Linked DNA regions of Stegostoma tigrinum. The protein of the gene in region 1 interacts with the protein of each later gene in a pairwise test. Links are inferred from orthologs where the notes say so. Each region holds a gene or a part of one and is shown in the gene's direction. Other genes may lie near its edges. The genes, in order: trip10a and arhgap12b.

Region 1 (3,916 bases):
CTGGGTCAGTAGGATGTTATCTGGCTCTTTGGATTACCACTCTAGCAATAATACCATTAGGCCATTGTCTCCTCTTAATATTTCTGAAGTGAAGCTGAATTTTCCTTACCGCACCAGACCATGTAAACATTAACTCAATGAGATCAAGAAGTAAAATACTGCAGTTGCTCGAAATCTGAAATAAATACAAAGAGTGATGGAGAAACTCAGTGGGTTTGGCAGCATCACTGTCTCTGATTTGACTCTTTTGGAGAAGATTCACACCAAGCTCAGAATATTGACTCTGTTTCTCTCTCCACAGATGCTGCCAGAGACCAAAAGTACTATAATAAAACAAAGGAGCATGAACGGTGAAGATCTGAAATGAAATTAGAAATTGCTGGAGAAACTCAGCAGGTCTGGCAGTATCTGTGAACAGATCTCAGTGTCTCTGGTTTGACATACTGGACTCAAAACCATTAACTCTGTTTTCTCTCTCTACAGGAGCTGCCAGGCCTGCTGAGTTTCTCCAGCGATTCCTGTTTTTGACCAAGAATACTATACTTTGCCCCTTTAACAGTGCTAGCCTGCACACCTAGCTGTAGGCTATGTGCGGTGAGGGTGCTTGCTGTGTTTTCTAAACTGCAGCAGTATAGTGTAGTAAGGGAGCAAATTACTGCAGAAGCTGGAATCTCTACTGAAAACAACAAATGCTGGAGATCTCAACAGGTCAAGTAGCAAGCTAACGTGATGAGTATGGATGACTCTTCATTAGAGCTTAAGATGCTCTGATGAAATGTCATCTAGACTCGAAACATTAGTTTTTCTGGTAATTACCCTTCTTCAGAATACCCAAAACGTTGACTGCTCCTTTCCTCCAGATGCTGCCTGGCCTGCTGTCTTCTTCCAGCCTCCAGTTCACCTACTTTGGATTCCAGCATCTGCAGTTCTTTTTGTCTCGAAACGTTAGCTTGCCGCCTCTCCTGAATGCTGTTTGGCTGTGATTTGTTGTTTCTCAATGTGATGGTGTTCCCTTTAACAGCACCAGCTATGTACGCCTTGCTGCAGAGTGAGTGCAGACAGGGTGCTTGCTATCAGAGATAATGGGGACTGCAGATGCTGGAGAATCCAAGATAATAAAGTGTGAAGCTGGATGAACACAGCAGGCCCAGCAGCATCTCAGGAGCACAAAAGCTGACGTTTCGGGCCTAGACCCTTCATCCTCTGATGACCTAGACCCTCTGATGAAGGGTCTAGGCCCGAAACGTCAGCTTTCGTGCTCCTGAGATGCTGCTGGGCCTGCTGTGTTCACCCAGCTTCACACTATTATCTAGGGTGCTTGCTATGTTTTGTAAAAGAGCAGTATGCATTGTAGTGGGGGTGTTCCCTTTAACAAAACCAGTCATACACACCTTGCTGCAGACTGAGCGCTTGCTATGTTCTGCAAAACTGCAGTGAGGCGCCGTTGAGCTTTTACAGAGGCGGAGTGGTGACGCGGGATTGCGCAGCGCAGGGAAAGTCGTGGCTCAGAATTAACCAGGGGCTGGAGAAATGTTTACACTTTGAAGGATGCCAGGCACCTCATTCATATAGAGAGGAGTTTCTGCAATCAAATTCCAAATAGAACAAGAGACGGGACCAAGTGAGAGGAGAAAGAAATTAACATAGAGTCTGCTGATCAATTCTCTCGTTTGTTTCTTCCCAGCCTGAATTAAAGGCGAAGTTAAAAATCATGGAGTGGGGTTCGGAGCTTTGGGTGAGTGTTACTTTTTAAAAGATATAACCTGAGAGATCCTGGAGATGCTGATGGCGGGGATTTTTTTTATTAAAAAAGACGCTAGTCGTGTTGTATTTGGGAAGAATGAAAAAAAGCGAGCGTTTCCGATTCACTTCCATTGAGAAACGAGCTGAGAAAGTCCTTTTCTTTTAGCAATTTTCCCAATTATCTTCTTTAAAAGTTGTAAGAAAAGTTTTTCTTCGCTGCTATCTCGTGTGTGCTGGTGCTTCTGTTGCAGCGAAGGGAAAAATGTATTTTAGTCTTTCCTTGCCAGGATAGAAAGGGTTAGCTCTCTCTGTTCTCTGTGTTGTTTCAGGATTTGGCTCTTTTTAAGTTGGGAGCGATCGAGTTTCCAAACTTCTCCCAAGTGCATGTTTGTTGGGGGCGGGGGTTGGTGAAGAGCAGGAAATGCCCCCTCAGTCCTCTGGCCACCCTCCCTCCCTCCCCAGGCCAGTTTGTTTTTGTTTAAATGCTATGTCCCATTATCAATGTCTCAGTGTCCGTTTTGTTTGCTGTTAACTAATGTGAGAAACACACACACACGTATTTTGCAATTTCTTCCAAACAAAAAGAAACGATTTGTGTTTAAAGCCCCCCCACCCCCCCCCCCCCCCCCCCCCGCGTTACACAGGCGCTTCCCAGTCCTCACGGATGAATGGGACATTGAATAGTTACAACTGCTGGATTTCGACGTTTCTGTCTGGTGGGGAGGGGGGAAGTGTTGGTCCTTACAATTTTCTCCGAGCCCAGTTTCTCTCCTGCAGAGCTTTGCGGGGAGAAACCGATAAAAAAAAACCTGTTTGTGTATGTGCGTTCCCTTTTTTTTGTACCCTCCTTGCTGTAATCCGCAGTGCAGGAGCTGAGAATAGCAATTGAGAGATGTATCTTTACTGAGGCTCACCTTGACCAACCCAGTTTTAACAGAACATTAATCAAGGCTGTTGCTGGGTGAGCTCAGGGTGGGGGGTGTTCTGAGAGCTTTGTATTTGGGTGTATCCGCTGAACCGGAGATACGTGCAATTGTTTCTCCCTGTAATCATAGCACAAAGAGAGCCCTTTCAGCCCGTCCTGCCTGCGCAAGCTCGTTTAAAATGGCTATCCATTTACTCACAGGCTGCTTCCCCCCCACCCCCCCCACTTGAGAAATCGCAGGACCAAATCCGTTGCAGAGGTTTCACTGGGATTTGTACTTTTTTGTCGTCATTGTTTTTGGTCAAATATCTGTATAGCAGACTTTAAGGGGGTGGGCGGGCGTGGGGTGTTTATTAATGTGTCTGTGTGTTGTCTTGCTCCTCTATCTGAAGGCATTGTCAGGTGGGCTACAGTTTCAGTAGGTAGTACATTGTATTTAGGGCATGATACAGGCCATTTGGCCCAACTTCCTTTGACCCTTTCACGGGATGAGAGCATTGCTGGCAAGACCAGGCCATCCCTAATAGTCCCGGAGAGGGTGTTGGCAAACTGCCTGTTTGAATGGTTGCGATCCATGGTGGTTTAGCACTGTTTGCTGGTGATGTCTCAGGGCTTTGACTCAGGAACAGTGAACGATGTGGCAGCAAATTAGTTCCAAATCAGGATTGTGAGAGATTTGGAGGGGAACTTGGTGGTGTTCCCATTTATCTACTGCCATTATGCTTTGAGGGGGTGGAGATTATGCTTTAGACGCTGCTGTCGAAGGAGCCTTGGTGACTTTCTGCAGTGCATCTTGTCGATAGTACACCCTGTTGCTACTGAGTATCGTTGGCGGAGGGAGCACGCTCTGGAGGTGTGGTGCCATTTAGGCAGTCTGCTTTGTCCTGGATGGTGTCGAGCTTCTTGAGTGTTGTTGGAGCTGCAGCCATCCTGGGAAGTCGGGAGTATCCCGTCACACTCCTGACTTGTGTCTCATCAGCTCTGAGGAGTCAGGAGATGAGTTACTCTTCACATGGTTCCCAGTCTCTGACCTGCTTTTCTAGCCGCAGTATTTAGATGAATGGTCCAGTTCAGTTTCAGGTCCATGATGACTTCCAGGTTATTTATAGTTGGGGAAGAAAGATGGATGTCAAGGGTGGTCGGTCAGTTATCCATTTTATCATTTGTTCACGGGATGTGGGTGTCCATCCCTCATTGTCCTTGGGCAGGTGATGGTGGACTGTCTTGAGCCACTGTTTTAGATAATAG
Region 2 (3,916 bases), on another chromosome or scaffold:
AGGAGATATGGGAAATTCTTTACACAGAGGGTGGTGAGTGCCCAGAATGCGTTGCCAGCAGAGGTGGTAGAGACAGGCACGAGAGCATCATTTACAATGTGCCTAGACAGATACATGAATGGGCAGGGAGCAGAGGGATACAGATCCTTGGAACATAGGCGACAGGTTTAGATAGAGGATATGGATCAGCGCAGGCTTGGAGGACTGAAGGGCCTGTTCCTGTGCTGTATTGTTCTTTGATCCTGCTTCTTACTAAGGTCCAAATACGGCTGGTTTAGAAGAAAACTCACTCACTAGTTCCAATTAGACATTGATCCTGAGACCATACAGCTATTTCTATTTTTTTCACTCGTGGGGCACAGGTGTTGCTGGTTGGCCAGCATTTATTTCCATTCCCTAGCTACCCTTGAGAAGGTAACGGTGAGCCGCTGCAGTCCACGTTCCGTCTGCTGATCCACAGTGCTCTTACGACGGGAATTCTAGGGGGAAAAGAAAACATTTGCCCATCCAGCCTTTCTGCTATTCAATACCATCATGGCTAATCAGGCTATGCTCTTAACTTACCCACCTGCTTCCATAACACTCGACTCCCTCGTACGTGGTTACAACTCGCTGGAGCAACACCAAGAAAATCGAGCCCCGTCACTCATGAAGTCTTCACAAAAGTTTTGATAAGCGTCTTTCGATTCGCGGTGATCGTCTCCATTGCTTCACAGACATGCACACTCAAAGCCAACATGTGCTGGACGGTGTATTTTTCTGAGGGGCGGGGGTAAAGGAGGCGGGAGTGACTCGCTATCCTTCACCATGATAAACTTTACCTTGCAAGCCAGCGGCTGCCGCTTCCTTCCTCCCGCTCACCCCACGGAACCAACACTGCTTCTGACAGCCGAAAATGGTCGTTGCTCGGCAACCACCTCAGCCATACGCACGCGCAGACTATCCTGAGAGCTTGCAGAAGGAGAATGGAAGGCTTGAGGAGAAGAGGCGATGTGAGGGGCGGGGCGGGTGAAGGACCGGCGCTGTTCGGGACGAAGGAGTGCGTACGTGCGCGCGGGTGGTTGGAGATGATCGGTGGGTCGTGCACGCGCGCTGGTTGGAAACGAGGCGCAGTCTGGTTTGTTCGACGGCCGGGGGGGTGGGGGGATTAGTACCATGACATACAGTAACAAAAAAAATCAGATCTGTAAGAGAGACTTCAGTTTACAGACATTAAATAAGGTCTCCAGAAAATTAAACGTTCTCCTTTCGCCTGTTTCTTTCCCCGGCTGTTGCGGTCATCGTCCGAAGCAGGTGCGTGATTTTTTTTATTATGTATTTGTCAAAGTTTGGAGCGTGAAGTGCATTCGTAGTGAAAAGTTTCTCTGCCTCGCTGTGCTGTCTGTCCACTAATGATATGGTCGCTAATACGAATTGATCGCCTTCCGTTTCGCTGTGGAGTGAGCAGTGTGTGGGTGGTGGAGGCCGGGACCGGGGCCTCGGTTAAAGCGAAGGAGGAAGCAGTAACCACAAGGAAACCTCAGATTTACCCAGTGGCCGCCCTAAACCTTCATAGATCTGACACAATAAATCACAGGGAAATCACCTGCACCGTGACAGACTCAGTGCCCTGACCCCTCAAAGACACCAACTCCATCCAACCACCTCACAGTTCACCCATCGCCTCTTGTCCGCTTCCACCCCCTCAATTCAGCCTCTAACTCTCATAAAACTGCTAATGCCTCCCAGTCCCTAACCTCCACACAACCCCATTATCCTCTCACCCACTCATACTCATCCCAACCGTGACACACAACCTCCAAATCGCCCCCCTTGATGCAGTCTTATTGGCCCCACACAACAGTCTCCCCCCTCAATCCACACAGCCGCATACTCCACAACTCCTATCTTTGTCCATTTCCCCGCACCATGCTCAAATGCATCCCTCCTCTACCCTCCCAAACATACTTGTTTTGTATTGACCGATATGGTTTGAAGGCTGGAGAAAGGAGTAGATTTTCTCTGTATACGGAATGATCATTTTCCTCTTTGCGTTGTTGTTTCATCTATGGAGCCACAGGGGTTTTTCTTTGCTCATTTGCATTATCTACGGTTAAATTTGTATTTGTGAAAGAAGTTATTGCTCTCCTGAAAATTGTAATTGCTAATTTCATGCAGGGCCAATAATTTACATTTTGGTTTACAAAAACCTTGCCTTATTAAAACAGCTGGAAATTTTTACTGATCAGGAATGAATTGCTTGTCAAGTTATTACATGACCCAGGGACACTGGTACACAATTTTTTTTTTACATTGCAAGTTTGTTATTTTATTTTCCCCCAAGATGCCTCCCTATGTAGTCAGCTTGATAGGGAGCTCCTCCTCACTGTGGACTTAAATTCTTGGCCAATCTCTGCCACACTTGGCCCACTGTAAGTTCCCCTGACTGTAATAGTAGACAATTAGCTCTAATGTCAAGGTAATTGCTTGTTTCAATTGCTATTCCCACATCCCCAGCCACAGGTTCACACTGGATTCCCTCCAGAAGCATGGAATTGTTATAGCACAGAAAGAGGCCATTTGGTCCAGCATGCATGCACTTTCCCTTCAAATGAGTGTCATAACTAGCCAATGTCCTACTTTTCCCCATTATTTTATCTTCGAGTGCTGCGTATTCCTTCAAATTCCTGAAAATTCTTGATTAACACTGCACTTCAACACTGAACAGCACAGGTTTATGTCGCAAGATGCAAATACTGTACTTGTGATTTGTTGCTCTGTTGCTTATGTTTCACAGTAATTATGATCAGTGTCAGTCTCCCCCTAATGCTGCTTTGGAGGGTCTCAGTCTCTTCTGTGTTTTGTTTTTGTTCTGGTTTGTCAGCATTATGTAAAGTCTGGTTACTACCCAGCAATGTACCACCTTGGACTGGCAGATACGTTGTTACTCCCAGGTCATGTGATGGCCTCTAACTTTGCCATCATCTTTACACTTCAACTGATCTATAGACCTCCTGGATCCTCACTCCAGCAGGAATTCCTGAGCTTTCTGTGATGCTGCTTCATTCTTTTGCACACTATTCCAAATTTGAAGAAGGGTTCATCAGTACTCTCTACTGATTCGATCAACTTGTGTCAGCTGTACCCCACTACAAGAATTATGGCTTTGACTTATGACTGCTATTATTACCTCAGCATTCCCTGTTTGTTCAAAAACAAAGTTGCTGGAAAAGCTCAGCAGGTCTGGCAGCATCTGTGTGGGAGAAAACAGAGTTAAAGTTTCGGGTCCGGTGACCCTTCCTCGGAACTGGACCCTAAATGTTAACTCTGTTTTCTCCTTCACAGATGCTGCCAGGTCTGCTGAGCTTTTCCAGCAACTTTGTTTTTGTTCCTGATTTTTCAGCAGTTCCTTTCATTTTTATTCCCTATTTGTTGCTGTTACATACGAGCTAACTAACAATACATAACCTGCTGACATGACAGAAGCTTTCCCAATATTCATTTGCATGTGTTCTTTACTTGATTGCTCAGTTGTGCACCCAGTGCTTCTTTCTACTTTGTTGTTTCCTTTTGTCTTTAAATTTTTTTTCTCTTTGCCAAACCTATACACTGTTCGTCTGTTATTAGACCTCCTTTCATTTCTGCTCTTTCAGGTACTCTGCCTTTCCCAGACCATACCTCAACCCTTCAGATGTCCCTATTCTTCTGCTGGCATCCCAGACTTGACTCCATCTGAGGTTAGCCAGCAATTTTTCTGTGTGCCTAACCTCCCATTTTTAAAAGGCTGCATCAATGCTATCATAGCCTCATAAGCAATGAACTCAGACTCGTCAACCTCAGTGCAGTCTTGCTAACTCCTTCACTCACCCAACATACTGGTTGGGAGTTGGTCTCACCGATTTCCTTTTTGTCCAACTTGCCTTGCCTGGTTCTTTGT

What was found.
Region 2: the proteins of trip10a (region 1) and arhgap12b interact in binary tests that used the Homo sapiens proteins (3 or more experiments, as listed by UniProt). The two-hybrid records come from large-scale screens. The link is inferred for Stegostoma tigrinum from reciprocal best matches to the Homo sapiens genes TRIP10 and ARHGAP12.

What each region holds. Positions count from the first base shown.
Region 1 is NC_081388.1:18,477,774-18,481,689, reverse strand, and holds the start of trip10a (cdc42-interacting protein 4 homolog), read left to right. Parts: upstream 1-1,471; 5' UTR 1,472-1,711; coding exon 1,712-1,735; intron 1,736-3,916. UniProt on the Homo sapiens protein: Required for translocation of GLUT4 to the plasma membrane in response to insulin signaling. Required to coordinate membrane tubulation with reorganization of the actin cytoskeleton during endocytosis.
Region 2 is NC_081355.1:127,967,967-127,971,882, reverse strand, and holds the start of arhgap12b (rho GTPase-activating protein 12b), read left to right. Parts: upstream 1-1,084; 5' UTR 1,085-1,293; intron 1,294-3,916. UniProt on the Homo sapiens protein: GTPase activator for the Rho-type GTPases by converting them to an inactive GDP-bound state.